Linked DNA regions of Tamandua tetradactyla. The protein of the gene in region 3 interacts with the protein of the main gene of each other region in a biochemical or structural test. Links are inferred from orthologs where the notes say so. Each region holds a gene or a part of one and is shown on either strand. Other genes may lie near its edges.

Evidence for each region.
Region 1: the proteins of STX1A (region 3) and STXBP5 form a complex in vitro, tested with the Homo sapiens proteins (2 studies listed by BioGRID). The link is inferred for Tamandua tetradactyla from reciprocal best matches to the Homo sapiens genes STX1A and STXBP5.
Region 2: the proteins of STX1A (region 3) and SLC6A1 form a complex in vitro, tested with the Homo sapiens proteins (2 studies listed by BioGRID). The link is inferred for Tamandua tetradactyla from reciprocal best matches to the Homo sapiens genes STX1A and SLC6A1.
Region 4: the proteins of STX1A (region 3) and SNAP23 form a complex in vitro, tested with the Homo sapiens proteins (3 studies listed by BioGRID). The link is inferred for Tamandua tetradactyla from reciprocal best matches to the Homo sapiens genes STX1A and SNAP23.

The regions. Positions count from the first base shown.
Region 1 is NC_135351.1:45,675,728-45,683,236, forward strand, and holds the start of STXBP5 (syntaxin-binding protein 5), read left to right. Parts: upstream 1-4,490; 5' UTR 4,491-4,576; coding exon 4,577-4,723; intron 4,724-6,451; coding exon 6,452-6,549; intron 6,550-7,509. UniProt on the Homo sapiens protein: Plays a regulatory role in calcium-dependent exocytosis and neurotransmitter release. Inhibits membrane fusion between transport vesicles and the plasma membrane.
Region 2 is NC_135335.1:38,041,958-38,049,938, reverse strand, and holds the start of SLC6A1 (sodium- and chloride-dependent GABA transporter 1), read left to right. Parts: upstream 1-4,974; coding exon 4,975-5,209; intron 5,210-5,637; coding exon 5,638-5,769; intron 5,770-6,813; coding exon 6,814-6,914; intron 6,915-7,704; coding exon 7,705-7,814; intron 7,815-7,981. UniProt on the Homo sapiens protein: Mediates transport of gamma-aminobutyric acid (GABA) together with sodium and chloride and is responsible for the reuptake of GABA from the synapse. The translocation of GABA, however, may also occur in the reverse direction leading to the release of GABA.
Region 3 is NC_135349.1:11,403,627-11,411,034, reverse strand, and holds the start of STX1A (syntaxin-1A), read left to right. Parts: upstream 1-4,407; 5' UTR 4,408-4,450; coding exon 4,451-4,480; intron 4,481-7,408. UniProt on the Homo sapiens protein: Plays an essential role in hormone and neurotransmitter calcium-dependent exocytosis and endocytosis.
Region 4 is NC_135340.1:56,366,700-56,373,572, reverse strand, and holds the start of SNAP23 (synaptosomal-associated protein 23), read right to left. Parts: upstream 3,005-6,873; 5' UTR 2,906-3,004; intron 1-2,905. UniProt on the Homo sapiens protein: Essential component of the high affinity receptor for the general membrane fusion machinery and an important regulator of transport vesicle docking and fusion.

The DNA.
Region 1 (7,509 bases), on a different chromosome or scaffold from region 3:
CTAAAATCATTTTTAAAAATAAGCATGTAATCCTAGCTATTTAAGAAAGTAAATTCTGAAATTATTTTAATGCAGCCACCCTCTCTTTGTGTGGTTCTGCTATGCAAATTTCAATCACTACAATTTAGTTAAATAAGTCCAGTGCCCTAAGCCTGGTTCAGGGAGCACAGTTTACTAACTGAGTAATTAACTGCACAAAGTTCAAACTTTGCTGCTAGCTCCTCAGTCCACAAATCAAATTTTAAGGAGTTACTTGAAAAGAAACTCTAACCCACGGGTAAAACTTCAGCAACATTCTCAAAATGTTTGTAATGATATTTAAATCGTAAAATAAAACGCTGAAATTAAAGACACTGGGGACGCTATTCCTTCCCTCAACAGCGCAGAGGCTGGTGGCCCTCCGCAGGAACTGCACCCACCCGCGCCGTGGCAGCTCCGCACGGACTTCCCGCACCGGGTAGGCCGGGAGCCAGGGAAGCTCGCGCGGCCGCGCTGGGGGTCGCGCCCCTGGGCCCCCTCCTCCCTGAGCACCCTCATAACCGGCTGATTGCGGAGCCGCCGCGCCCACGGCCAGGAGTACACCCCGCGGGCACCCAGGGGCGCTCAGGCCCAACCTCGCTTCTTCTCCTCCTCGGACACCCCACTCGGCAGCAGCCAACCCTCCCGGCCCCCACTAAAGTGCGCCCCCGTCCGCAGCTGGCCCAAGCACCCACGGGGGCTGGGCCACTGCAGGGCAAGGCGAGGGGAGACCGCCAGCATGCCTCCACCTCTTCTCACCAAGTCCTGCTGCAGGGATGGTCCGATGGCCAGAATCAGAGCCGTCCAGAGAGTCCCCACAGAGACACAGTGGGGCAGGCTGCACAGGAGTTGCGCCTGCACTGTGGGCGTGAGGGCCCCGGCTCGCCCCTCACACCGGCACTCCTGGCCTTGGAAGCACCCAGCAAACGCCCACTCCAGCCCCACCTTTGCGGACCCCACCTCTCTCCCCCTAATTCGCATCTCTGTGATTCAATCCCAATGGCCCCAAAGAGGACCCCTTGGGCTTGCCTTTTTTTAGACCGCGCTGACCCAGAGTGGGCCAGAAACAGGGTCCCTGATTCAAACACAGGTGTCAGGCAGGGGTGGGGGCCCCTTCCGCAAAGGGGGCGCCAACTAGGCAGACGGAGTGATGGACATTTCTACTGCAACTTGCAAGTGACCGAAGCTGGATATTCAGTTAAATTGTATAGGGAATCAATTATTGCCATGCATACCCTTTGCGACTAAAAAATAAAATTAAGTGGATAAAAATAATGCTAGGAGAGCATATGAGGTATATTTGGTCAACTTTCAAGAAAGTTTTAGCCCATAACACAATTTCTCATTAAAATGTTTGTTTCTATTTTATTCCTTTCCGTCGGCCCCAGCTGGCCTATGAAACCAATGCCGGAGCCTTCCTTAAGCCTTTAAACCAGAGACTGAGGATTGCCAGATTCAGGAACGTAAACGAATCCCGGTCTTCGGTCTTCCATCACTAAATATTTAGTGGGGTCCCTTTTTGTGTGTGTGTATTCTGTTTTCTCTTTCTGATTTACGTTTTTATTTTCCGTTCACTAACTATTATTTAGAGCCAACCGTGACTCGGCTAAACGCAGCACAACTATCTACAACTTGTTAGTGGCTTACTGTACCACACCATCTCTAGCTATACTAAGTAAGTGAGGAAAAATGACATTTGGGTGAATGCCATGAACCCAAACAAAGAACGCTAATTAATTGCTTGGAATGAAGACATTAAGTAAAAGAAAACAGAGCAAAAAATAAAAATAAATAAAACCTTGCTGAGAGGCCAAGAGCCCTAGGCTTTGTCACCTGCCAGATTTGCAGGACAATCCAGACCCCCCACCCGCCCCACCCCCCGTTAATAGGTGTAAACTGGGCAAGTTCCATGCTTTGTCTGTTGGCCAAATTCTTCATTAGTAAAATGAGGATATACTACCTTCTTCTAGTTCTGTGATGATAAACTGGGAGGGAAAAAAGATCTACCATTTGCAGCACATTCCTTAGTACTCTATGGATACCGAAAAATGTCAGTTTTTCATTCTGCAGTCAGGGTCCTTCAGTGGACAGAGCCTTCAAGGAGCCAGTGCCCCTTTTTTTGACTTCAGACTTTTGTTGTTTCTGTATCACATCCCTCTCATCAGGCAAATCTATTCTGTCATTCCCAAACTCTGGTTCCTAGAGGACAAGTAGGATTTAAGACGAACGGGGAGCATGTCTGCCAGTGCAGGTAAGCTCTTGTGGACTTGCTACCCACTCTGTCCCAGCTCAGGCTAACAAAGACCTATGTAGAAATCCAGTGAGATCGAAAAGAAAGGGGCACACAGTGGTAAAATAATGGGTCCTCAAATTCAATGCATTTTTTTCTAAGTCATTTTCAAAAGTGCCTTTTCCAAAGAGCCTTATAATACAATGATAACAAAATATCCAACAACTTATTTCAAACCAGATGAAAAAATCCTGTGGGAAAGTGCTCTCTTTGGCCATTTCCCCTATGTGGGCATTTGTATGAAAAACTCTCCAGGTGAATTCCGACAGTCCTCCTCTCCTCTTCACCTGGCCAAGTCCATCTCTCCTGGACCCCAGAATGGCCGAGCAGCAGCAGCATTCCCTGGAGTCCCTCCAGGCTTCCCAGGCAGTGGGGAGTGGTGCCCTCAGCCCCCTCCTGCACTACCCACCACTGAACTCACTGCAGTGCAACGAGCATGTAAGCAGGAGAGTCATCCCCTTAGACTGCCACAAGCTTGCAGAAAGCCGGGATGGCATTTCTGTGTCTTTAGTACCCAGTACAATGCCTTTCACGCAATAAAAATGTGTGAACTGAATTATTCAGCAAAAAGTTCAGAGCCACTTAGAAATAGTTGAGGAAAGCCCTGTTTCTTAAAAAAAAAAAAAAAAACAAAACTTCTATTGTTTGCTGCACAAAGCGAATAGTTTAGTTCAGTAAACATTAAACTACAAAACGAGGCCATAGATTCCAAGTAGAGGACATGGTCTCTGCATGGAGAACCCACGAAGTGGGGAGCTTCCCCCAGCCCACAGGGTGATGTGGCGGTTTCTGGCCTACTGCTGGGGTCAGGGCCACCACCAAGGTACCAGAAGGGAGGCTGGTGCTTTGGGCCTTCCTTGTCCCCGCCACATCTCCGAATGAGAATCCATCTTCTGCTTCCTGATCCCCAGCCCTTCCTGGCCACAGCCTCTCCCCTCAGCCACCTCCTCACATCGGGGCACCCCATCAATCTGCCTTCCTGACCTCGGGCCCGGCGTGGTCTCTCAGAGTCCCAGGAAACCGGGCGGCGGGGGGCAGAACCAACCTCACCCCACTGCCGTCTCCTTCCTGTGTGGGGGACTACCTGCGTCCCTCGGTGGGTGAGCCCATCCCAGGCGCGCCTACCACAAACCTCCAGTGCCCACCCACCAGGTCCCTGCCCACGCGGCGAGGGGATGGGCTAGGGTCTCCGGTGGAGCATCCATCCCCGCCCACCCCGCGTGGGGACGGGTTGGGGTGGGGGGTCCCTGGCCGGCAGACCCCGCCCTTAGGGGTGACCTCGGGGAGCGAATCCAGCAGCACCTGTGTGGCCGACTTTAATTTTACCCCTAGAGGCAGCCTCAGGTTTTTTCTGGGCTTATCTCCTTCCCCAGAGACTTCCTCTGTCATCCTCGTGGCACTGGCGTGGCCGTCGCCTGAACGCCCTTCCCAGACCCTCGCACGACGCGTGGCCCGCAGACCCCGGGCGCCGAACCGTAGGCGCACCTGCCCAGGTGGGAGCGCACCTGCCCAAGGGGCAGGCTGACGTCAGGGCGATGCGCTGCTCGCTGCCCAGCACTCTGTACCCTCCCAGCTGCAGGAGAAGCCACGGCACAGTCGGGCCACGCAACCCGGGCGGGCGAGCGGAGCCGCCGTGGCGGATTTTCGCAGACGGAGGGACGTCAGGGATCGCCAACGCGAGGAGGAGAGGTAGCCGCGGTGCGCACGCGCACACCTGGTTGTCGGCGCCACGCTCGGAGACGAGCAGCGCGCACGCGCACGTCCAAGTTCGCGCCGCCGGGTCCTCGCGGTGCGCTTGCGCACGCCCGACTGCAAGCTCAGCGGGTGCGACCAAGCTGCGCCTGCGCACGCCGGGAGGCCTGCGGGGGTCGCGCCGCGCCTGCGCACACCGGCCGCCTTGCTCTGCTGAGGCCCCGCTGCCGCCCCCTGGCGCCGTGGGCGGGTCGCGGCTCGGCAGGCGTTGGCGCCGGGTGCTGGTCTTCAGGGAGCCGCGGCGGTCCAGTCAGCGGCGGGGCGGCCTGGCCCGGGGTCCCGGGCGCTTGCGTGGGGCCGAGCGGCCGCGACTGAGAGTGGAGGCCGGACAGGGAGCCGGAGCGGGAGCGGCGGGCCCGGGCCATGGGCGCGCGGGCGGCGGAGGCGGCGCGGGGCCCGCCCGCGGCCAGGTGAGCGGGCAGCCGGGCGCGGGGCCGCCGTCGCAGCGTTTCCTGTGCGGATCCCGCGCGCGCCCTGGGGCCGCTGGAACCCTCGGGAGGGGGCTTCGCCGAGACCATGAGGAAATTCAACATCAGGAAAGTGCTGGACGGCCTGACCGCCGGATCGTCCTCGGCCGCGCAGCCGCCGCCGCCTGCGCCACCCGGCAGCCGCGAGCCGGAGATCGCAGAGACGCTGCAGGCGGAGCACTTCCAGCTCTGCAAGGTGAGCCGGGGCCCGCGCGCGGTGACAGAGCGCCGGGGAGGGGGGCGCGGGGCAGCGGGCGCGGGTGGGGGAGCACCCGGCAGGGCGTCGCGCTGGGCGGGCGGCAGGGTGCGGGGCACGGGGAGTAGCGCGCGCGGGTGGTGAGGCTCCGGGCCTGGGAGTGGGGCGGTGGGCGCGGGAGCGGGGCGGTAGGTGCAGGGAGCGGGGCGGTGGGTGCAGGGAGCGGGTTGCCGGGTGCGGGAGTGGGGCGGTGGGCGCGGGAGTGAGGCTCCGGGCGCGGGAGTGGGGCTGTGGGCGCGGGAGCGGGGCGGTGGGTGCAGGGAGCGGGGCGATGGGCGCGGGAGTGGGGCGGTGGGCGCGGGAGCGGGGCGGTAGGTGCAGGGAGCGGGGCGGTGGGCGCGGGAGCGGGGCGATGGGCGCGGGAGTGAGGCTCCGGGCCTGGGAGTGGGGCGGTGGGCGCGGGAGTGAGGCTCCGGGCCTGGGAGTGGGGCGGTGGGCGCGGGAGCGGGGCGGTAGGTGCAGGGATCGGGGCGGTGGGTGCAGGGAGCGGGGCGATGGGCGCGGGAGTGGGGCGATGGGCACGGGAGTGGGGCGGTGGGCGCGGCAGTGAGGCTCCGGGCCTGGGAGTGGGGCGGTGGGTGCAGGGAGGGGGGCGCCGGGTGGTGGACTGGGGCGCCGGGCGCGGGAGTGGGGCGGCGGAGCGGGTTCAGGGAGCGGGGCGCCGGGGGCAGGGAGTGGGGCAACGGGCGCAGGGCGCGGGAGCGGGGCTCAGGCCTGGGAAGGGGGCTTCTGGCGGGGCCGCAGGGTTAGGGTCCTTGGTACAGGGCCCTGACCCCGCCAGCGTGGCCTGGAAACCTTCTGTGCAAGCGTTTTTGGCTTAACCCGCTGGCTTTGGTTTCCTTTGGAAACGCTGTCTGATGGACATCGCTAATCCAAAAGCCAAACCTGTCCAACTGGATGTTAGATCGTGGCTTTTCTCCCAAAATATGCACTGAGTGGCTGAAAATAGGAAATTGCATTATGTTCGATTAAGAAGTTAGTAACTGTGATTTTTGCCTGTTAATGGCACGGTAATTGCCTTTGCATTCTGTAGTTCAGAAAGAATGATGCAGCGAATTAACTTGCCAGCTGCTCGAGGAAAAATTCACGTTCGTCTATTAATATTTGTCTTCCCCATGCATTGTACCCTGAGTTTCTTAAAAGTGTCTCCTTAAACTTTTTGCCTCAATCTCCAGAAATGTGGACTTAATAGGAAAATGTGAAAATTGCAAAATCTTGGAGTAGAGATTGCTTTCTAGAATTCTGCAAGAAAGTAATTATATGACAGCTTTTCCTTAGTATTTGCATTTAGTATCCAAATGAAGTAATGATGATCACGTTTGAGACAAAGCATGAATCACAGTTTAAAATGAATTTACAGAATTTTTTGGTCACTGTGAACCTCAGTAATTTGTTCTCAGATGTAATATAGAATACTAGTGAGACATGGTTTTCTGTGGAATACAGTGTTATGGAAATGCAGAAGTTAAAGTGTATAAAACTGGTATAGAAATTTGGTCAAATAGCTTTTGTTTGTTAATGTTGTAGATTTCAGGGTTTTTGTGTTGTTTTTTTTTAACAGCATCTGGTGCGTATCAATTATAGTTGGTTCTAATTCTAATACCTCATTGCTTTTCTGTTTCTCTCTTTCTTCACTGCTTGGGGCTGCGGTGTCACCTGCCACCCTAGACTGTCCGCCATGGATTTCCCTACCGGCCCTCAGCCCTGGCCTTCGACCCCGTGCAGAAGATTTTGGCCGTGGGGACTCAGCTCGGTGCTCTTCGGCTGTATCCTTTGTGGGCTTCGGCAGGGCTGGTGAGCTGACGAGGCCCGTGCTGCCTGGAATCCATGGCATTGGCCTTTCCCGTAGTTATACTCTCCCACCTCTCAGCAGCGGTCTTGCATTCTGCCATAGTTAGCTACTTCCTTTGTGAGGTGCTAGAAGGTTCTGCGGGTCTGTGAAGAGGTACACGAAGGATGAGGTTAAAAGACATCAGCGTGGCATGTGTTTTAGTTGCTTTTTTGAAATGTTGCACGTGGGAGATGTTAAACTTATGACCCGTTTATTATTCTAGTGAATTCGAGGTTGAATTTGAATTCGGTTGTTTCTGACTTACCATCTAAGAAAAATCATTAGCAGACAAACGTAGCAAATAAACTTCATATAAATTCTTATGAAAAGTTGACATTTCTAGGGTGGGCAATGGTGGTGCAGTGGCAGAGTTCTTGACTGCCATGCTGGAGACCCGGGTTCGTTTCCTGGTGCCTGCCCATGCAAAAAGAAAAGTTGACATTTCTAGAAGTTTTAGAGCATTCTGTTTTCAAGTGCATATGGATAAATACAGTCTCTTGATGTATTTTCCCTTTTACAGTCTACATTTATTACCCATATGTAAAAACGATTATGTTACCTGTATTTTATTAGTGTCGAGAGAATTATTTTTCCAAGGCATCCATGGACTCTAGTAGTTTTGTTGTAAGCTTTTTTCAAATACCTATTCATTTTTCAAGATTATGTTTTTTAGTTTGTACGTTGGAAAATATTTCTCACTTTCTCTTTTAAACTGTTTAGCTTGAAATAAAAATTAAGCCTTTGCTTTTATTACAGTGTTTAACCATAATTAACCTAAATGTCCTTATTTTTAAACTTAAATGCAGTAATATTTTAAAAACAAATGATTTGTTCATCCACCCTGAAGTAATATGTCTGCTTCCTAAGTATTATTCATATTGTGGAGGTAACATGT
Region 2 (7,981 bases), on a different chromosome or scaffold from region 3:
GCTGGAGAAGATGGAGTCTCTTTCCTTAACTCCATCCTTCCCAGAGTCCTCCTGAGTGAGTCTTCTTCCACAGTTCAAATCTGATCACATTGTCACCCCTGCCCCATCCTTGCAACTGGTCCTGAAATTCTTTAACCTGGCATTCAAGGCCCTTCACAAGCTGGCCTTCTTATTTCAAACCTCTTTACTTTTGTTCATGCGTTTCCCTGCATTTGGGAATGTCTTTTCCCTCTTTTTGAGTCTGATGAACACCTATTCAACCTTCAAAACCCAGCTCAAATATCCCCTCACTTGGGTTACCTTCTGTGGCTGAAATAACTCATTCCTTCCAGGCCTATAGCGTCTTCTTGCTGCACCTCTTACAGCACTTATCACAGGGTGTTATGATTAGCTATAGGCAGAGATAGTTCTCCTTTTGGCTGTGACTTTGTCAAGGACAGGGCAGTGTCTTATTAATCCTTGCATCCTGAGCATCCAGTCCAGCTCCATGCACATAGTAGGCCATCAGGGAGTATTTACTAAGTTGAATCTTTCCTCTGTTGATTCACTGATTCCAATTCTGGAGATTAGAGTGTGGCTCAGAAGACAAAAAATGCTACTTTATAACGGAATTTCTTGAAAAAAAAACCCGTCTTGTCATCATTTCAATACATAGGACATGCTTAGAAAATATGTGTGAAATGAACGAAGGACTGGATGAGTAGTTGGGTGAAGATAGAAAACTTGTTACTTACGGTCTCCATTAAAAGTGCCCTTTCAAATGCTGCTTTGGGTGGAATTCAGTTCATGATGAGGTATTAACCAGTGTTACTGAGGAATGTGTGACCAGATTCTTTGTCTGCAAAATGTTGTCACCTGATGAGGAAGAACCAGAAGATTCTGGAGGAAAAGGCCTTGGAAAAATGCCCCAAATCACGAGGTGGTGAAAGGTCTTCCTTCCACCCACTCCACCTGCAGGGAGAGGACGTAAGACCAGCCCCGCCCAGGCGGTGGAGGGACGGGCTGCCTCCCTCACTGCCCCGGAGCGGTCCCAGGGTGCTGAGAAGCTCCCCCAGTGCCGCAGCGCGCGCCGACGCTCCCAGAGGGGGAAGCAACAACTTGCAGAAGAGTTGTTACTGCTTCAGAGATAGTGAACTTTCTAAAATTACAACCGGGCCACCTAGTCACGACTTCACACGTGCCCGTGCCCATGCCTGCTGTTTCACGTGACTGCGGGGAGCCACGGGTCACCCAGTGGGGTCAGGAGTTAGAATTCTAAAATGGCTATTTCCCCCTGGGATTAAGACGCGCTTCCTCAAACCACTTTGTTTGGGAGTCCTGGGTCTCTTTCACCATTTTCTCTCCATGTCCTAGATGCCTTGAACGTTTTTTTCTTACCCAGCTTTATTTATTATACAATAATTTTTTTTTAATAAACCAACCACGCAAATGTGGCAATCCCAGCTTTGAACTGGCCCAAGGCGAATGGCTAGATTACCCTGAAATGGTACAAATAGACCCCAAATCAAAGAAACATGACATTTTTATTAACTGGTGTTCTCTAGGACAGTTGAAAGATTGCTTTCCACTGGGGTTTTTGGAAAGGCTGAAAGATACCAAGGGCCCTGAACAATAAGCCTTCAATAAATGCCAGTTATTTTGTTATTATTATTATTTATTGTTATCATTATGGACTTCTGGGAAGCCAAGAATGCCAGAATGAGATTGGTGACAACGACAGTGATGACTGGCTGAGATGACACTGGTTCTTTCTTTTGGGGGCGTTGGGAGGGTGCACGGGCCAGGATTCAAACCCGGGTCTCCTGCATGGCAGGCGAGCATTCTACCACTGAACCACCCATGCGCCTTGGCTGAGGGTCCCTAAGCTCCAAACGTGCACCAGATGTTGTTTTAAATGCTCCATAACCACCCCCCGAGGGGGGTATTATTACTGCCCCCCACCCCCATTTTACAGAAGAGGACCAGAAATGCGAAGGGACCCACTGAGAGTCGGGAAGCGGGAGCGGGAGCTGAGGTCACCTTGGAAGTTGAAGGGCCTTTCTCAGCCCTGAGTCCTGAAAGGAGCATCTGTCACATGCACACATGGCATCGCGTCCTTAATGGATCCCACATCTCCTAGCGGAAATGAAGCCGGTCTTAACAAATCCTGGAACCGCAAATTAGAATGTCTTCAAGGCTCTCTCTCTCTGTCTTTTGGTCTCTGATAGTTTTCTTCCTTAGCAGACCAGCTCTGTCTGCTGTTCCAACCCCAACGTGGCACCTCAGATTTCCCCAAAGCGCTTGGGAAGATCGACCCTCTTTCGGAATCCCATGCCAGATTCCCAGGGAAGGAGCTTTGACTGGCCAATCTGGGTCAGAGACCTCTGGCCAAGGTGGTTGGGTGCCTCTGAACAGATCTGGCAGCTGGCACCTACCGGGGTAGACCCCAGGGAAATTAAGGACACGGGTCCACTTTGGCCTTCCCCTTTCCTGAGGCTGTGCTGTCCCCCGCGTGTCCCGAGACTCTCTGGTAGACCAGAGGACTGCTGCCTTCCGCTCCCTGCATTTCCTGAGGATGGGAGAGGGTCACCTGACTGAGTCCGTCCCAGGCCAGTTTCTAGATGCGCATCCCAGGCAAGCCTTTGGCCTGTGCAGAGCAAACCAAGCAGGTCGGGCTGGAGAACCGGAAGCCAGGGTGAAGTGCCCATTGCCCAAAAGTGGTGTGGTGCTCCCTGAGCTCTAGGAAGAGTTGATGGTGCTTGCTAAGGGGGAATCTACCTGCAGTCCCCAGGGCCAATGCACCTGCCAGCTGGGGACCCCTCAGAGGGCAGAACAATGGGTGGAGGTCATTTGGAGAAGGGGCCAGGGCCCCCGTCGCACACTGCCTCTGAGCATACATGGCCTGATGCTTTCTAAGTCCCAGTTTGCTCCAGGATTCTATAAGTTCAGTTTGGGTTATTTCATGAACTTGGAAAGCTTTGAACATTATGGGAATCCATACAAGCACAAAAAAACAAAAACAAAAAAGGCCTTCATTATTGAATCCCTGCTAACATCTTAGGGTATTTTTATGATGTGTCTTTTTTGACACATTATTTTACGACGCATCTTCTTATGAACAGATTTTTCTTTTCTCTTTTGCAAAAAAAAAAAAAAAATGGGATCGTATTGAATAAACTCTTTTGAATCCCGCTTTTCTGGCCCAACAAAGCAGAGCAAAGTGCCCTCTCCCGTGTTCTCACGTGGTCTTTTGCAACATTTCTGAGAGTTTGGATAGAGGTTGGAGGAAGATTTGGGTTGTGTGAGTCAGCTCCTGGGGGAGCCTGAGGAAGTGCAGCCCCTCTGCTGATTTCTTGTCTCCTTCTGATAAAATTATGGAGCAGCTACCTCAGTTTCCCTCAGGCCCATCCCCACACTGTGCCCAGGGCAGCAGGCCCTGCTTCCGCATGCCTGCAGCACCCCATGGGCCAGCACCCTGCTGTGAGGACCCACCCTTACCGCAGTTGCCCGGCTGGGGACGGTGCATGGGGCACGCGAACAGCACCAATGCAGGCAGGCTTCCTGCACCCCACCGGGGTCCCTCCAGCTCCCGCCTGCCAGCTCAACGTCCCCTCATCTTTGCTTGGCAGGTTCTCATCCAGTGACCGCAGAAGCAGGCTTGTTGGAGCCGACGTGCCACAGAGAGTCTCAGGTATTGTCAACCGCAGCAGTAATGACAGTCATTTACGGAGTTCTCTCTCTAAACCAGCCAGGTGATAAGCACTCTTAACAGACTTTAAATCCGATTTTTGTCCCAGTTCTGCAAACCGGAGAGGATTGTCCCCATTTTACAGATGGGGAAACTGAGGCTCGGCGCCATCAAGAGTGGTTATTTGGTGTCACTCTGTCGGTAAAGGCCAGATGGGATATTTGAACCCCACACGGTCTGACCCCGGTGGCATACACTGCCCTCTACCCCACACTGCCTCTGGGGCCAAAGAGATAAAAAGGAGGCAGAGTGCAGATCAAACATCTCCGGGCTGCAGAGGGTCGGAACGGGCATGCAAGCCAGCAGTCCTTCCTCAACCAAGGGCCAGGGCTGGGCTGCTGGGGTAAGAATCAGAAGAATTTCCTGTGGGGTTGGTTAAAATACAGTCAGGACTCAAATCCATGCATCTGGTATGAGACCCAGAAATATTCAAAGGACTTCCCAAATGGTCTGGAATCAACAACCAGGCCTGGAAACTGCTCATGAGAAAAGCAGCAAGAACTTACCATTTGCCAGGCACTTACTGCTCACACCAACCCAGTGTGGGAGGTACTAGTTATCACCCTCGTTTTAAAAGAGAGGATGAAAAAAAGAGAGAGAGGACGTTGGGGCACAGAGGGATTACGATTTTATTCAAAGTCACACAGCACGGGTCAGAGTGAGCGCTCCTGTATCGTTCCCACCCAACCGCCTGCAGCCGGGACCCCTCCCTGTTCAGCCCCCGGGTAAACCCTTCTGTTAAGGCCTCCAGATATGCAAACCTCCCATTTGCAGCTTCGGAGGCAAAGATGAGGAACTCTTCATATTTCTGTTTGGAAGTTTGATGGCCTCAGGTCTCTCTTCTGAGTGGGACCCATCACGGAGGGCAGGAGGTGGGCGGGCAATTACCAACAGAGCGCGCGCGCCAGCTGCGTCTGGGAAGAGACGGCACCCTCCTTCCTCCGGGAGCCGAGGGTGGGGGTGGGGGTAGGGGGGCGTGTGCGAGAACCCTCTGGAACCCATAGTTGTGTGTGTGTGTGTGTGTGTGTGTGTGTATGTGTGTGTGTGTGCGTGGGGGTATTATTTTGTTTTTGTGATTTCCGGACAAACCCAGGATGATTCCAGGGTCCCGCCCCCCTCTCCCCTGCCTGCAGCTTCACCCCGCTGTCCTCCTAGGGCCACCCTGAACCGCGAAACTGCTGTCCACCTGGACCGGGGCCGACGTTTCCCGTCCTCCCGCCAGGACCCCCGGGGCCAAAGCCCGAGACATGGCGAGCGACGGCGGCAAGGTGGCCGACGGGCAGATCTCCACCGAGGTCAGCGAGGCGCCCGTGCCCAATGACAAGCCCAAAACGCTGGTGGTGAAGGTGCAGAAGAAGGCGGAGCTCCCGGACCGCGACACGTGGAAGGGCCGCTTCGACTTCCTCATGTCCTGCGTGGGCTACGCCATAGGCCTGGGCAACGTCTGGCGCTTCCCCTACCTCTGCGGGAAAAACGGCGGCGGTGGGTGCCGGCCTCTGCCCCCCTCCCCTCCGCACCCCCACAGCTGGTCTCGGCCCCGGAGAGGAGGGTCCCACCCAGGCTTTTGCTGGGGGGCCCTTGGGTGGCGGGCGTGGGGGGAAGACTCCAAAGGGGCCGCCTGCGCCCCATTTCTTGCTTCTTGCCCTTCGGCTGGAGGATTTCCAAAGGGTGCTGGTCCTCTGCTAATGATTCTAGAACGTTCAGCTTTTCACTTTGCAAGGGGGGAAGGGGGGCATGTTTGGAGCAAAGGACTAGCCGGGTCTCAGTTTTGCAGTTGAGGCAGGGTCCAAGGGAATCCCAGATGGGGCCCCCAGAACGCCCTGGCACGGGGCTCCCTCTGGCAGGGGGTGGGGGTGGGGGGTCTCCAAAGCCTCAGGGCCACGAGCATCTCTCTCCTCTCCCCTCCCCAGGGGCCTTCCTGATCCCCTACTTCCTGACGCTCATCTTTGCGGGGGTCCCGCTCTTCCTGCTGGAATGCTCCCTGGGCCAGTACACGTCCATTGGGGGTCTGGGAGTGTGGAAGCTGGCCCCCATGTTCAAGGGTAAGTCTGCAGAGGGGACATTGGGGACACTGGCTCTTCTGCCCGCAGATCCACGGTGACGCCGGGGCCTCTGACACCTTTGACCCCTCTGGAGAGAGGGAGCCTGTTGCAACATCTCCAAGCAGAGTGGGGCCATGGCAAGGGCCAGGAGCCAGAGACACCCTCACCCCCGCCCCATCAGCCTACCCTGTCCTGTTAGCTCATTTCTCCAGCAAGGAATGGGCTTGACTTCCTCTGCTTCCCTGTTCGGTGCCCAGAACCCTGCCTGACCATGCGACTGCCTGAAGACTCAAGCTTCCAACCTGTGCTTGAGCCTCATGCCGCCGCCGGGCAGCTCCCAGACCCCCCCACCCGTCATCCAGCCTTGGCGGCGCCCCGGGTGCAAGGCCTGCCTCCATCGCTTGCAGGATGAATACGGCCTTAGGCCAGTCACTCCTAGTTGTCAGACCCAGTGCCCCAATAACGCCCAGCTCTGGAGTCCACTGAGATGGTAGACATGGTAAGAAATGGTAAAAGCTCTACATGATAGGGCAGTGTTCTAGTTTGTGAGCTGCCGGAATGTGATATACATACCAGAAATAGAACGGCTTTTAAAAAGGGGAATTTATTAAGTTGCACGTTTACAGTTCTGAGGCTGTGAAAATGTCCAGATGAGAGCAAGCCCATAGAAATGTTCATTCTAAGGCATCCAGAGAAAGATACCTTGGTTCAAGAAGGCTGATGAGGTTCAGGGTTTCTCTCTCAACCGCACATGGCGACGTCTGCTAGCTTTCTTTGCAATGGCTTCCCTGGGGCTCTGTCCATTCTGTTGGTTCTAAAGCTTTTTCCCAAAGGGTTCCCTCTTAAGGGACTCCCGTAAGCAACCCCACCTTGAATGGGTGAAGACACATCTCCATGGAAACAGCCAAAAAGTTCCCACCCAGCAGTATTGAATGAGGATTAAAGGACATGGCTTTTCTGGGGTCCACCACAGATCCAGACCAGCACAGGTGGTTATTATTTTTATTATGGTAATAATATGAGGGTGTTGCTTCCTCCGCCCAGGTGTGGGTCTCGCTGCAGCTGTGCTGTCCTTCTGGCTGAACATCTACTACATCGTCATCATCTCCTGGGCCATCTACTACCTGTACAATTCCTTCACCATGGTGAGCAGCCCCTTAGGCACCCCCCACCCCCAGGAAGGAGCCAGACCCAGAGCCCTCCTCCACACTGAGCCGAGCCCTTCCCCCGGGACAACACAGTTTGTCCTCACCCACCCTTGTCTTCCCATGACAATCACAGCCACCTTGGACTGAGCACCTACCTCAGGCCAGGCATGGAGGCAGCACTTTATTTGGGTTTCCATCTCATCCTCATGACACCCCTCCTGAATGGGGACTTTGGCCCCATTTTATGTGGACCGGGTCTGCCTCAGTTGGAATCCCCAGCTTGACAGCTGTGTGTCCTTGAGAAAGAGACTTCCCCTCTCTGAGCCTCTGTGCCCTCATTTATAAAATGGGGATAAAAATGAAAGCCACCTATTAAGGCTGTTGTGAGGACTAAGGAGTAATGATGTGCAAAGTGCATCACCGTTGTGCAAAGGATCGCACAGCGTCCTTATCTGGGGAGGGGCCCAGGATGGATGCCCGAGATGTCAGGGCAGGTTGGAAGAGTAGTTCTCGGTGCAGGGAGGTCGGGGTTCTAGTGTCAGCTCTGACACTCAGTTGGTTAGTGGTTCTGTTCATGGGCAGGTTACTTCCCTTCTCTGACCTCTAACACTGGTGTCCCAAGCCTCCTGCCTCCCAGAGCCGTTGGGAAGGGGAGATTAGATAATAGTTGCATGGGGGAACTGAGGGTACATGGGGTACACGGGATCATGTTGCCAAACCCCGGGCTCAGTGGGTTTGTCTGTGTGATGGTCCCTGGAATGATCCCCGATTCACCGTGCCGTTGCAGACTCTTCCGTGGAAGCAGTGTGACAACCCCTGGAACACAGACCGCTGCTTCTCCAACTACAGCGTCGTCAACACCACCAACATGACGAGCGCCGTGGTGGAGTTCTGGGAGTGAGTTTGAGGCCTGTCCATGGGCTGGAGGGTGGGGGCGGGTTGGCTGGTGTCTGGCAGGAGACAGAGGCACCCTCAGAAGGGCTGGATGAGGTGCGGGGAGGTTAAGGGGTCCTCAAGGGCTGGGGAGGTCCTTTCCGACCTCCAGGCCTGAAGGAGCCCAGGGG
Region 3 (7,408 bases):
ATGAAGAAAACAACTACCCTAATGGATTCTTGGGTCTTGGAATAGTATATTCAGTGACAGCATCATTTATAGATTCAAAAGGTGCTGTATTTCAAATTAATAGTGACGATGACATATTTGCGAACACTGCATGAGGGAACTAAGGCGCTAGGGATGTCAGTGACACGTGACAATCAGACGGTGAGAGGCAGAAATGCAAGTGAAGGGTTTGAATCAACTTTTGCAAAAACGTGAGTGGAAAAACAGTTTCTGAATTAAATTAGTTCAACAAATATGTGATTTTATGTACATGAAACTAAATAAATATTATAAGTAGAGAGTTTATTTTTTCGTCTTCATCCCTAAAAATTTAAATTCAAATGTTTGGCCTTTTGTTTTCTTTTAATCTTCTCATTGGGAAAAGGAGGAAATAACGTGATAATTTAGCCATATGGTGATTCCGTCCCAAAGCCCCAGCCATAAGGTCACACACCAAGTAATAGGGCTTAAGCCCGAAATACCCACTGCCTGCATCCTCCTCTTCCACTCCCCCAGTAGAGCTGAGCCCAGGCCTCTGGGTTGAGCTGGGAATTGGTTCCAGGTTACTGGTAGGGTGGGTTGGGGTGGGGGAAGGTGCCAGGGGGAGGGAGAGCTGCTAACTGGGCAGGCCTCTGGGCTTCCTGGTAAAAACAAAATATCTGGGATTTGGAGGACTGGGCAGCTTACAAACTGACACACGATGCTACGACCCTGTCCGTGTTTACCTCCCCAAGCCTCTGTGTCTTCATCTGTGAAGTGGAAATCATGGAAGACCTCCCTGATAGGGTCTCTGTAAGAGTTAATTAAGGCACCTCACACGGTGGCCTGTGCTTTGTGCAATCGTGGGGCCAGGGCCAGACTTCCCAGGACCCGAGAACAAGGAAATAAGCCTTCCAGATCCCAGAAGACAACAATGGGGGTCCCTCAGCAATCCAGTTGCCCATATGCACACCCTGACACCCTTCAGCCTAGGGGCCTGGGTTATGGCCCCAGGGGCAGTTCATTCCTGAATCATACCAAAACTTCCTCGTCTTCCCTCTTTCTCTGCAGCCTCTGTTCTCCCCCGTCACTCCCATCATTACCCTTGTCATGCTGTCTTGTCGCCTTCAATGGGTTTCTCCCAGCAGGCCAAGGAGTTCTCACTGTCACTGTGTACCTGACCCGGGTACACAGGTGCCCAGCCACCTGAGCAGCCTGACCCGGGTACACAGGTGCCCAGCTGCCCGACCTGCCCAACCTGGGTACACAGGTGCCCAGACGCCCTAGCAGCCCGACCTGGGTACACAGGTGCCCAGCCACAGTAGCACTAGCAAGGCACTGCTGGCCTTGCCCAGCAGGTGGCAGCAGTTCCCAACATCAGGACTCCAGTTCGCAAAGATCCCAACCTGCCCTCTGCCCGCCCTTACAGTCTTTTGGAGGGAAACCCCAAAGTACACCCAGAGGCTCTGAGAGCTCCTCAAAGCCCAGGCTTCCCCCACCCCCACAGTGCTCCTTTATAGACACACGGCTCATCCAGGCACCCGCGCGTGTATTCATTCTCCACAAACACGCTTTCTGGGCCAGCCATGGGGAATCAACAGGAAAATCAACCCGGTCCCTGCCTTTAATTGTTCCTGTCTAATAAGGGGACAGACACCTACAGAGACTATATCCATGCAATAATGCCATGCCCAGGATAAGCCTCGGTCATTGTGGGACCACACGTGCTCAGGCTCAATTTCCTGGAGGACCATGGGGTGGGGGGAGGGACCCAGAAGGAGAGTGCTCCAGGCCCGGGGGTGGGGGGGGAAGGAGGAGGGCAGGGCATGTGCAAAGGCCCCAGAGGAGGGTGCGATGCTGGGGAAAGAACTGCAGGTGGGGATTAGACCCGGTCACAGGGTGGGAAGGAAGGAAGGAAGGCAGTCTCCAAGAGGTGAGGCGGGGCCAGATGGCAAAGGACAGACATGGGAAGCGCAGGATCTTCTCCCCAGGGCAATGAGACACCTCACTACCCGAAGGAAGCCGGAGGGGTAGGAGGGGTTAGGGGCGGGCAGAACACCTATATTGGGGGCTTACAGATGCCCTGATGACTGGAGAAGGGCAGGGCTTTGCAGAGCACTTGTCCAGACTGAGGAACCATTGCTTGTCCAGTTCAAAGAAGTGAGGATAGGGGGTGATGGATGTTACGGAGACCACTTGGTTCCCACTGGGAGTAATCCCTGCCCCTGTCTCTGTCTTTGTTCACATCCTCTACCCAGAATACCTTTGCACCCCTTCTGCCCCATATGCCTCCATGGCTCGTGCCTTCGCCTTCACTTTACCACTCAAATGCCGCCTTCTCAGCAATGCCCTCTCTGACTGTCTGATTTAACAATTGTTTTAAACAATTTTAAACAAATTTAAACAACACACACCTGGCACCCTCATCACTTCTTTCCTACTTTATCTTCTCCAGAGCATATATTATCACCATCATATATTGTCTTGATTAGCTTATCACCTCTTATCTATTACTGTGTAAAGGACTTTTGTCTTTCTCGTTTGCTGCCATGTCGGCACATAGCAGAGGCTCAATAAGTACTTTACAAACTTCCGACCCTCCATTGCCTCCCCCTTGTCTGCACCATAACGTTCAACTTTCAAGGCCTCCCTTGCTGGCCTCGCCTCCTGCCTTGGCTTGCAGGGCAGCCCCAGCATGCTCCTGAGGATCTCCAAATGGGCTCAGTGCTGCCCCCTAGTGTCCATGGACATCTTTTTCCTCTGTCCTGGAGGCCTATACCTTCCTCCCTCAACACTCAGCTCAAATGTGTCACCCTTTGGGAAGCCGCCCTGGCTGCACCCAGCACTCATCACACTAAACTGAAACCAGGTCTGTCTCTTCAGCTGCACTGGAGGCAACTCGAAAACAGAACAGCAGTCCAAGAGCATCGTTACCCAGGTAACATTTGATGAATGAATAAATAATTGAATGAAGGCATATCAGACCAGCAGGGCACACATTTGTTATGCATCCTACTATTTAATACACATCTAAATGGCTGGTGCTCTGCATGACATGGGAACTTTGAGGGCAGCTGTGTCTCCCCTTCCTTCCCTTTCTCTATAGGTCCAGGCACTGGGCTCTGGGGGTGCATCCATGACCCACCCCACTGAATCACCCCTGGATCAGGGATCAGGTGGCATCTTCCCTGCCATGTGCTCCCATACCCCTGGAGGGGCCCTCCTACAAGGAGGGGCCTGGCTTCTCACTATCAACTGAGGGCATGGCAGTGCCTGCTCCGTGGGGCACTTTATGGTGAGTTCTGAACAGCTGGAATGGGTGTGGCCACCTCCCAAGCCAGGCCACATCTCAGCCAGTCTCAGGCCAGGTTTTCCAGGAAAGGAGGGAGGGCTGGAACTGTATCCTCCAGGCTGCCTGCCAGCCAGCTAACCTGTGCCCACAGTCTGGGAGGAGTGCCAAGCCCAGGCACGCTGGACAGCAGGGGGCTGGCCTGGCTCCAGAGCAACACCTTGGCAGCCCTGGGGAAGGGAAGGAGGAAGCCTTGGCTTAAGGTAAAAAAGGTCTGGTCCAGGGCAAAGAGGGAACAGCTGGTGGGAGGTGGGGGAGCTGTGTGGCTGTTGTCTCAACAACATGCTGGCAGGGACCTGAAAGGGAGCTCCTGCTACTTACTAGCCCTACAGCATGCATCCCCTTGCACAAACCATCAGGATCCCTCTGTTAGTGCCAGACGGATCTGGGCCCCAGGCTAGGGACAGTTTAGCTTCCAGATAGGAAATGGGACCTCAGGCCTGGGGCTGGGGCTCAGGGTCGAGGATGCAGCGAAAGGGAGAGATTTCAGGTGTCTCTTCCCCAAAGCTAGAGGGCTTGCTGCAGCCTGCTGAGAGTGGAAATCAAAGGAAAAGGACTGGTCACCCAGCATTAGATCCCTGAACTGAGAAATCCTGGGGAAAGAGAGGGACAGAGAGTGAGCCTGGGTAAGAAGATGCGGGAAATGTGGGAAGGTGAGGGTTCAGCGGATGGTTTGGGGGAGAACAGAGCGGGAGGTGCTGGACGTCCGGAGGCAATAAAATCAAGGCCAGGTCTGGGGGTATCAGCCTCCAGCAGATCCCGGGGGGGATGTGATTCAGGGTCAAGAGAGAGGGGTGCTGAGGGACAGAGGAGAAAGCCGGGGCTCTGGGGTCTGACCCCAGGCAGGGATCACGCAGGGCACCAGGTCCCAGGGCTTCGACCCCGGTCGGAGGTGGGGCGGGGAGCCCGCCTCCCCGGCGAGGGCGCGAATCCGGGGCCGCCGGGCGCCGGGCCGGGGCTGGGCGGGGCCGGGCTGGGGGCTGGGCCGGGGTCCCGGGGGGCCGGGGCGGGGCTGGGGCTGGCGCTGCGCAGCCGCGGGGCGGCCGCCGCGCATGCGGGGCTCACAAGGCTGCAGCCGGCGCCGCGGCCGCCACTCCCGGGAGCATGAAGGACCGAACCCAGGAGCTCCGCACGGTGAGTCCGGCCCCGCGCGCGGCCGCTCGCCGCCGGCGCCCAGCGCTCCGGGTACCCCCCGCCCGGCCCCAGCGCGGCAGCCCCTGCGGCCCCCGGCGGGCGGCAGGGAGCGGGGCGGAGCCGGGGACCCCGACCCCTGCCTGGGGTCCGCCCCTTGGCCCCCCTGGGCGGGCGGGCTCGCGTGAGCTCGGCCCCGTTGGCCTGTGAACTGGAGGTCCGGGGCGGGGTCAGGATAAACTTTTCGGCGACCCCTTGTGCGCTTTTGTTGGGGTGGGTCAGAGGGCGATTATCGCGTTTGGGTGGCGGGACGCGAGCCGGCGGAACCGGTCCCGTCTTCATCGCCCCGCGGTCCCTCGTCTCTGTCCCTCCCCTGTCCCCTGTGGCACGGACAGACGGCGGCGCCGCGGGGGGAACGGGCCGGGGGCGGCCGCCTGCCCAGAGCCCCGGCGCGGGGCGCGCTGCGGGGACGCGGCCGTCGGGTGGGGGCGGGCCCGTGTGACGGGAGCTGTCACCTGTGGCTCCCATCACCTGTGGCTCCCCGCGCGCTCGCCGTCCCCTGCCCGCCCCGGGGCCACCTTGCTGGCTTCCGGGCCGCCCGGGCCGGCGTTTCCAGGTCCTTCCGAGGTTCGCTGGTCTGATTCCGACCCGCATCTATTTTTCCACCTGTGTCGGAGGCCCCTGGGGTGTGGCTCCCGGGGCGGGGTTTAGGGGGGATAGGAGGTTGCACGACGGTTCGGCGTCAAAGACCCTCATCACCATCCTCTTCCCCCGACTCCTCTTCACTATTGCCCTTCCCCTGGCCACTGCCATTTCCCAGGACGTTGACGCTCCCCCAAGCCCCGCCCCCGCCCCCACACGCCCTTAGTGTTGCCCAGGCTGGGGGGCGGTGACCGGGAAGGAAATGCAGCCCACCTGTGTGCTGAGGGGCGCGCGTGGTGGGGAGCAGTGAAATCAGGGCTCTGACCAGGGCGGGTCTCACCCCAGTCTTGGCTGACCACCCCGCTGGCAGGCCCCGCCCACAGTCTCTGGGGGCACCCTAGCTCAGTGGCTCTCCAGGACCCTCTCTGGCTCCCTAACTTGAAGCCAGAGTCCTAGGTCCTCTCATGTGGAAAGTTTCAAGTGTCCCTTGGGCTTTTGACCCCAGGGCTTGACCCCTCAGCCCAGAGACTCCTGAGTGTACGTCTGGGTCTCCCAATTATACTGTCATGTTTCCGGTGCTGCCGGGAGCTGGACCCCATCCCTCTCCAACCTGGTTATTCCTGGCTCCCTGCCCAGCCCCTGGGGCGTCTGGGGAAACCCCGTGAGGTTCAGAAGGAAGAAGATGGTCTCTTAACACTTCCCCTGCCGGCACTTGTGGTTGCCCTCAAGTTTCCTGTGCTGGGCGGAGTCGGAAAGAATGCTGGCTCAGTGGGGAGTGGCTGGGTGATGGATGGGCTGCTGTTGGGGCGCCTGGGGGGTCAGATGAGAGCATGGACGGGAAGCCAGTGGCGAGAGGAACCCAGTCAGCCCCTCACACCTGACCAGGGCCTCTGACTCTACCGAGGGGAAATGGATGCCTAAAGGAAAATGGGCTTGCCTGGTACATGAAGATGGGTGGTAGAAAGGGGCTTTGCTAAGTCCCTGAAGAAGGTCAGACTTCGGCTTGAACTGGACTGAGGGAGCCCCCAAAGAGCCCGGGTTGGGAGGGGCTTGAACCCAGGTCTTCTGGCTCTGGTGTGTGTCTCTGGATCCACCCTTTACCACCAGCACCCATCACACTCACACAAGCGCACATCCTAGCCCCGGGGCTCCCTCAGACCACAAGGCCTGGCTTCTCGGAATCCTCTTAGGGTTCCTCTCTGGCCACCCCTACATGGAGCATTCGGAGCCCATACTCCCTGTTGGGTGGCACTACCCATGGAGGTTTTCTAGCAGTCTAGAGGGTCAGCTGGGAGGAGCCCATGCTGGGTGCGGGAGAATGGTCAGTGGGGGTGGGGGTGGGGTAGGTAGGGGTGGAGGCAGCTCCATTCCAGCAAGTCTCTTTCCTTCTGGGGCTCAGGTTCCCATCCATGAAGTGGAGACAGGAAAACCGAGAACACCACATCTCAGGGCGAGAGCCAGTGGTCACGAGTCTCCTGTCTCTGACTCTGAATTTGGGGGAGACCTTGAACCCCAGGAGTCAGCATGTCAAGCACGGAATCCCTGAGACTCAAAAGGCTGAAGCAGGCTGTGCTAGATAGAGGTAGTGATCAGGACAGTGGCTGCCCCCCCGCCACCACCACCTCCTTCTTCTTTCTCTTTCTCTCCCACCCATCGCCACCACATTTGGAAGGAAGGCGAAGGGAGCTTATTTATAAAAGTCACACTTGGGGAAGGAGCTGGCATGTTTCCTCAGAGCTCTGCAGGCCAGGCCCAGCCCTCCAGCCTCCTCCAGCCCCCACCACTCCTGGTGCTCCTGGTGCTGCTGCTTCCCGTTCTGCAGATGGAGCGTGCAGGGGATTGGTAGGGCCCCAGCAGGCCAGCCTGGGGTTGCATCAGCAATATAGACAGGCTCTCAGGGGTCAGCAAGAGAGGTAGAAGGTTTCCTACCTTCAGGGAGCAGGTAGGAAACTGAGGACAGAAATGGGTCCAGGCCACAAAGCTAGGGAAAGACAGGGTGTCTTCTTAAGGCAGGGTTTCATGCAGCTGCCTCCTCCCCCATCTCAGAGCCCTCTCGGGTTGCCATTCTGGGCACTTCTGGAACTGACCCACTCCTCCCTGAGACAGTGTTTTCTAAATGCTGGGAATGTAGGGCCTGTGGGACCTGTTGAAGGGACTCAGAGGAAGAACGTAGGAAGGTAGGAAGCTCAACCTGGTAGCCTTCCCAGAAGAGGATTAGGGATGGTGGAGGGAGGGTGATCCAAAGAAGTGCCCAGCATGAGAAAAGGCAGAGAGGCTGGAATGCTCAAC
Region 4 (6,873 bases), on a different chromosome or scaffold from region 3:
GTTGTATAATGTTGCAATGAAATATTTTAGGACAGAAAAAAATGAGCTACGGCTACATGCATCAAGAATCTTAGCAACATAATACTAAATAAAAAATCAAGTCCCAGAAGGCTACTTAAACTATGGTACCTTGCATAAAGTTTGAAAAACCCACAAAACTAAACAATATTTTGTTGAACTATAAACTTACACAGTTACGAAAAATTTTTTTAAAAAGGAATATTTTCCAGAATGACTGCACCATTCTATATTCCCATCACAAAAACATTCGAAATCTAGTTTTTCCACATACTCATCAGCACTTGATACTGTCACTATTTTCATGTTAGCTGTTCAAATAAATGGGTCTTAATTTGAAAAAAAAAAGGCAAATTGATTCTTGATAATTGTTTAACTGTATTGCTTTAATGGTGTGACCGTGTGATTGTGAAATTTGTGACTGACACTCCCCTTTATTCAGTATATAGGCAGAAAATAAAGACAAAAAATAAATAATGGGGGGGGTGAAAGGTATGGGCCGCTGTGTTTTCTTCTTTATTTTTATTTTTATTTTTTTTGGAGTAATGAAAATGTTCTAAAATTGATTGTGGTGATGAACGCACAACTATATGATGGTACTGTATGCCATTGATTGTATACTTTGGATGATTATATGGTATGTGAATATAGCAATAAAATTGCATTGAAAAAAAATAGGCAATGGCCAGATCTTGGAGTGACTTGCATTTTTTGACTAGGAAGTCTGCGCTTTATACTATGTCCATGGAGAGCTACTGAAAGGTGGATTTTAAGCTGGGTAGATGATTATTTTAAGCCACTTCCTCCAGGAATCCTTTCAAACACCTTTAAGAATAAGGAACAATCATTGAAATCAAGCAAAGAGTGTTTAAAGAAGAGAGACAAGTCTATCCTTAAGCAATCAAGAAAGATGAAGCCTGAGAAATATCTTTTGAATTTAGTTAAAATAGCAGTAGGTTGGAGAGGGGGATGCTGAAATGAGGGCAGGTTGTAGAATGCTTTTGGAAGGTTTGGCCTTGATGGGGAGGAGAGAGAAGGGATGATAGTTAAAAGATGAGGATCAAAGTGTTTTTGTTTCTATTTTGCATTTTTGTTAGAATTAAGACAGAAGAAACTTGAGCGTAATGGGGAAGATCCAACTGAGAAAAAAAGATTGCTTAAACAAGAAAGAGAAGAGATAGTCAATAATGGTAAAAAACTTGAGCAGATAAGAGAGACAATCTAAAGCAGTGGCAGGAGGAATAGACTTGGAAGACAGATAATACCCCCTCAATTATAACAAGAGGAACTGTGTGGCAGTTTGTAAATTTGTACATTTAATAAACAGAAAGTTGAAGTTTTCATCTGATGACCTCTATTTCCTCTGTGAAGTAGGAGATGAGGTCATCTGCTGAAAGTAAAGGAGATGGTGCTGGCAGTATTAAGGAAATTGAAGAGATTTGAAGTATTTGTTGCAGAAATTGAGAAAGTTGATCAGAGAAAAGTAGTAGGCCTGGTAAGCAGTGAAGGCCTAGTTAAAGCAACTTAAAATGAACTCACCAGTCTGTACTGGGGTGTGGCTTTCTCAAGCAGTCACTACTTCTTAAGGGCAGAGGTGAAGAAAATTGTGTGGTCAAGTTCATTTCAGGTTGTGATGGGCATTTGTATAATGTGATGGTTCTCAACAGGGGACAATTTTGCCAGCAGGAGATATTTGGCAATGCCTGGTGACATTTTTGGTTGTTCTCATGGGGGTGGGGGGTGGGGGGGTGGCATCTAGTGATCAGGAATGCTGCTGAACCACCCATAATAAACAGGATAGGCCCCACAATGATTTATCTGTCCAAAATAACAATAGTGCTAAAGTTGAGAAACCGTGGTAGAATAAACACAGACATGCAAGGGAGCTCAAGTTATTGCCAAAAGATGACAGATCATGGGATTCAAGTCAGAAGTCAGGAAAAGGCTGATGGATTGGGAAATAAAAGTGTGGAATCAATGAATAGGAGTTTTTGATGAGGTCAAAGAAAGTCACAGAGTGTGGTTGGCCAAAGAAACTGCAAGACAGAAGGTGTTTGGACAAAGAAAGTGATAGTTACATTAGGGAATTTAGAGGTAAAGAAATTGCAGGTGATAAGAAGGTCCAGGGTATTGCTATGGATGTGGGTAGCTGAAATAGCATAGAGTAGTAGATTAGGTTGAGTTTAAGGAGTTAAGAGATTTTATTGTTGGATTACATGTCCACACGGAGGTGGAAGTTATCCAGAATGATGGCAAGGTAGAGATAAATGTGTATTCTTTCACTGAAATGAATTAGTGGCAGAAAAAAAAAACAGCCTGAGAATCATCCTTACATAGATTTCTTCTCTCCTTCAAATCTGCCACCCACCCTCACCCCCACCCACTTCCCCGGGGTGGGTGGGGCATGAAAAAGATTTTCAGGCAAAAAATGTTGAATTTTAAAATTAGGAAACTCTGGAGACTTGACTGGTCTACAATTTAATGTTATGCCAGATCTTAAAACTCTTAAGATTTTAGTGAATTTGATTTCCATTTCAGTCATAATCTATACATTATGGTAACCCAAGCAGCAAAAACCTAATCACCTTGAGGTAGGGACGGAACACTAGCTTCCCTTTCTGTAAGGAACATTTTTACTTTTGTCTAGGGAAATGGTTCTCATCTGGAGGTGATTTGCCCCCAGGAAACATGTGGCAACTTCTAGAGACCTATCTGATTGTCATAACTTGGAGAAGTGGGGAGCTGCTACTAGCATCGAGTAGCCAGGGATGCTGCTAAACATCCTAATACACCATACACTCCCTCATGACAAACACTTATCTGGTCAAAAAAATGTCAATAGTGCCAAGGTTGAGAAACCCTGATGTAGGGTTACCTTGGTGCTTACCAATATCTGACCTTAATCTTCTATAGGTTTATCCTTGGACTATAGCCCTGAGATTATTGGGTTAAGCTGTTTTTTCATTGCTTGTCTTTAAAGGAGAGTAGAATGAGCAGCACACCCCAACTTTCAAGTGTTTTAAGGACTTGTGATGTCACAAATACAGAATTGGAAGTTTTCTAAACTTCTAGAAGCAACTTTGCCTTCACATATAGATGAAGGAGGTAGCTGCTTATTTTGATTTGAGGCACTAAAGGTCTTGTTAAAAAGAGATGTTATTTCAATAATGTAAGAGGAGGGACACATTACGCCATCACCAGCCTTAACGTAACTTGGTTTATTTGACTAATATTTATCACTAAAATAGAGTCCTGAGGGAATGGGTAGGGGCTAAGATTTTTAATAAATAAAATTACTTGTTATGAATAATAATATAGTTGTTGGTTTGCTTGATGCATGAATAGATACTTGACCTATGTTACCTCTTTTTTTTTTTTTTGCGCAGGCAAGCACCAGGAATTGAACCCAGGTCTCGGGCATGGCAGGCAAGAACTCTGCCTGCTGAGCCACCTGGTCCTCCCTGTTACCTCTTTTAATCCTAGCAACACCATCAACCTAATTTTAACTCTGAGGGAATGGAGGGTCCAAAGAAACTTGGAATTTGTCCAAAGTTGCAAATTACTATAGCTAGGTTAAGATTTGAGCTGAGGTCTGTCTAAAGTTCTGAGGCAACTTCTGTAACTGAGAAATTGAGATTTAAGAGATGATTTTAATTACTGAATTATAGCTGTATAGATGTTCCCTTTTGCTTTCTGGTGTATTAGAATGGTCAGAGGGAAATACCTGAAATCTTTGAATTGTAATCCAACTGCCTGAATCTCTGATAATGATTATATAGCCTTTCTCTTCTGCACCTGTGATTGTAAAAACCTTGTAACAGGGCGGGCCATGGTGGCACAGCAGGCAGACTTATTGCCTGCCATGCCAGAGACCGGGGTTTGATTCTGGTGCCTGCCCATGCAAAAAGAAAAAAAAAAAAAAAAGAGAGAGAGAGAGAGAAACCTTGTGACTAAACTTCACTTGTACCATTTATCCAGTTTTTCAACTTTAAAGTTTATGATCACTAAAGACAGCCCCTAATATTTATTAATGAAGGGTCCTGGGTCAGCCCAAAACTAGCCCGCCCCAAGTCCAGTTATCTTGATAACCTAAACTGGATCTAACCAAAATGGGCCCACCTGACATGCAGAGTAGCTTAGATTTTAAGCTATAAAGTTCCCCTATACCTCATTATACTAAAAATCATGCACATCATCATAATAAAGCCACCATTTTCTTACATAAATTCTGTGGCTAAGTATGTAATCCGCCTGCACATGCTCAATAATCTGATCACTTCTAATCACATCAGCTGGGACCACTGTGCTCATTATCCTAAAACCTGCCCATCTTTTGCTACAATAAAACTATCAAAATTATTGCAGTTTGGGAAGACAGCTTTTGGAGCCGTAGGCCATCTGATCTGCTGTGTCTAGTTATACACTTTTTCTCTCTTTGAAACCCGGGTGTCTCAGGAATGGGTCATTTGAGCGTGTGGGGCACAAGGATCCATGGCCTGTGTTTGGTAACACTTTCGTTAAGCTTTATTAAATATTACAAGGAATTAGAAAGTTAGCTGAAACAGTTGTCATTGTCAAAAGGGAACCGTGGAGTATTTAAGAAGAGAGTAGGAGCAAGGAGGCCTGAAAATACAACAGAGAGTGAAAAAGGGACCAAGGAGGCTAGTCACAGTCGGATCCAGTGCAGCTCCTGCAAACCCAACCATCTTTGGTCTTCCATTCTTTCAGAATAAACCCTCTACCCCTGTGTGCATTGTTCACTTCTGGGTTCTAATAAAGTTAGATTATTGAGAATGGCGGACGGCAAAGAGAGAGAGAGAAAAAAAAAAGGAGCGCGACGGCTGTGTTGTGCGCCTGCGCGCTGGCGGCGGCGGTGCCCGGGGGGGAGCCGGTCGGGAGTGGGCCGCCGGACCCAAAACAGAAGCTGGGGGTCTGGGGCGTGAGGGAGCTCCCTCCCCGGGGTCTCGGCGGTGCGATGGAGTAAGAGAGGTCGGCCGTGAGTGTGAGTATGAAGGTACCGAACCGCGTTGATGCGAATCAGAGCTCGAGGGTCCTACTGTTCCCCTTAGCAGGGCTGTGGGGTTGCAGGACGCGGCGATGTCTCTGCTGGTGCATGTTGCGGCGCGGGGATAACTAGTCCCATCTCCCAGCACCAGCTCGGATTATAGCTGGCGGTGCTTCTGGTTTAGGGGAACGGATTCTCGTGGGGGCGTTTAGGTTCTGCTCCCAGCCCTAGCTGGAAAGGTGGCTCCAGAGCTTTGACCTTTGGGGAAGGCCGTTGACCTCCTTCGGTTTCCAGTGGGGCAGGGAGCTCATAGACCCTTGTGCTTAAAGGCCTGTGGGTCACAGGCCAGGGACATCTTTCGACCTCTTGTGACTGACAACCTCCTTTTTCCTCCTTTCGTCTTCTCTCCAATGTGTCTTACTATTAGTTACTAATTAAGGGATGCTTACTATGTGTCAGTTTAATATTTCGTATGAATTTCAGTAACATAATTATAGTTAAGGAAATGCTTTTTACCTTCCTCCTCCTTCTACTCACTTTAGTCATTTTTAGAATAAAAATATATCCTGTTGTGGAGTCAGTTTTCCATGGCCCTTATAAATTTGGGACTGCATTACCAGTTAAGGAAAGTTTTTTTTTAAACTTATTACATCATTCACCATGATAATAATAATGATGAATTATTCAAACCACAGATAACTTTGAGCACTTACTAAGAGCCTAGTACTGTTCTAAGCCCCATGGGAAATCTTAAAATTTGTTTTAGACCTTTCACTTTGGTTGTGAATGAAACAGTGGAAGGCAGTATTCAGATTTATTTAACACCTACTCCATATGTGCCAGATACACTCAAGTATGTCGCAAAAAATTAATGAGATCTTGTAATGGAAGGTGGCTTTTTGCAGCACATTTTAGATGAAGTCTCTGAGAGTCTGATAAGTTTCTCAGGCTCACCTACCTAGAGTTAAGTGGTAACTTTCAGGCTGTATGATAACAAAGCTATCATTTTGCTGTTACACAAAGTTAGATACTCTAAGCGGTTCTGCTGAGAAGCAAGCTGCATTACAGTTAAGAGTTAGCTAATGGGATTTAAAAATGATAGGAGGCTTCAGTTAAAGATACTTGCTAGATGTTTTTTTTCCCCATGATTTACCATTTAATAAATATTCAGTTGTAGTAATTTTAGAGAAACTTAATCATGAACAGAAGACAATTTGACTTTTAAATTAGTGCCCTTGACTAAACTACTTTAATAATGCAAATAAATTTGTGGCATTACTTTTACTTTCAATTCTATACTTGCTATGAATTCTTGGATTATTTTAAGACATAATTCACATAAAGTTTTTCCAAAACACTTTTGAATCAATATGCAATTTTGCTAAAATAGTGTGTGTCCTCTTTTATAGTCCTCCAACTAATACCCATTGATTGTTACAATCTAATTTTAGAGAAAATTACATGTAAAATGTAGTTAATATGGAGGGTTTGGAACAAAAGTATAAGGAGAAAACTCAAGGATATGCAATAGGTTTTACCATTATTCCCAGAATTTTATTTATTCTCCCATACTCTGACTCTCTTCCAAATAGACAGATAAATAACAATTTAAAAGAGGAGTAAATTGTAAGCATCCTTTTGTCAGAGTTTTCCTAGATTTGCTAGTTTCATTTTACTGAAATATGAATTTTGGAAAATGTTTTTGGAAACACATGGCCTTGTGTAAAGAACCAAAGATTTTTAACACATTGATTATGTGTGCGTTTTGAAGCATCTCAGGGTTTTTAAAGCAAAGTAGAAACAAACATTCTACATTAGATGAAGTAAGGATGTGTCTAACTGTTTTGATA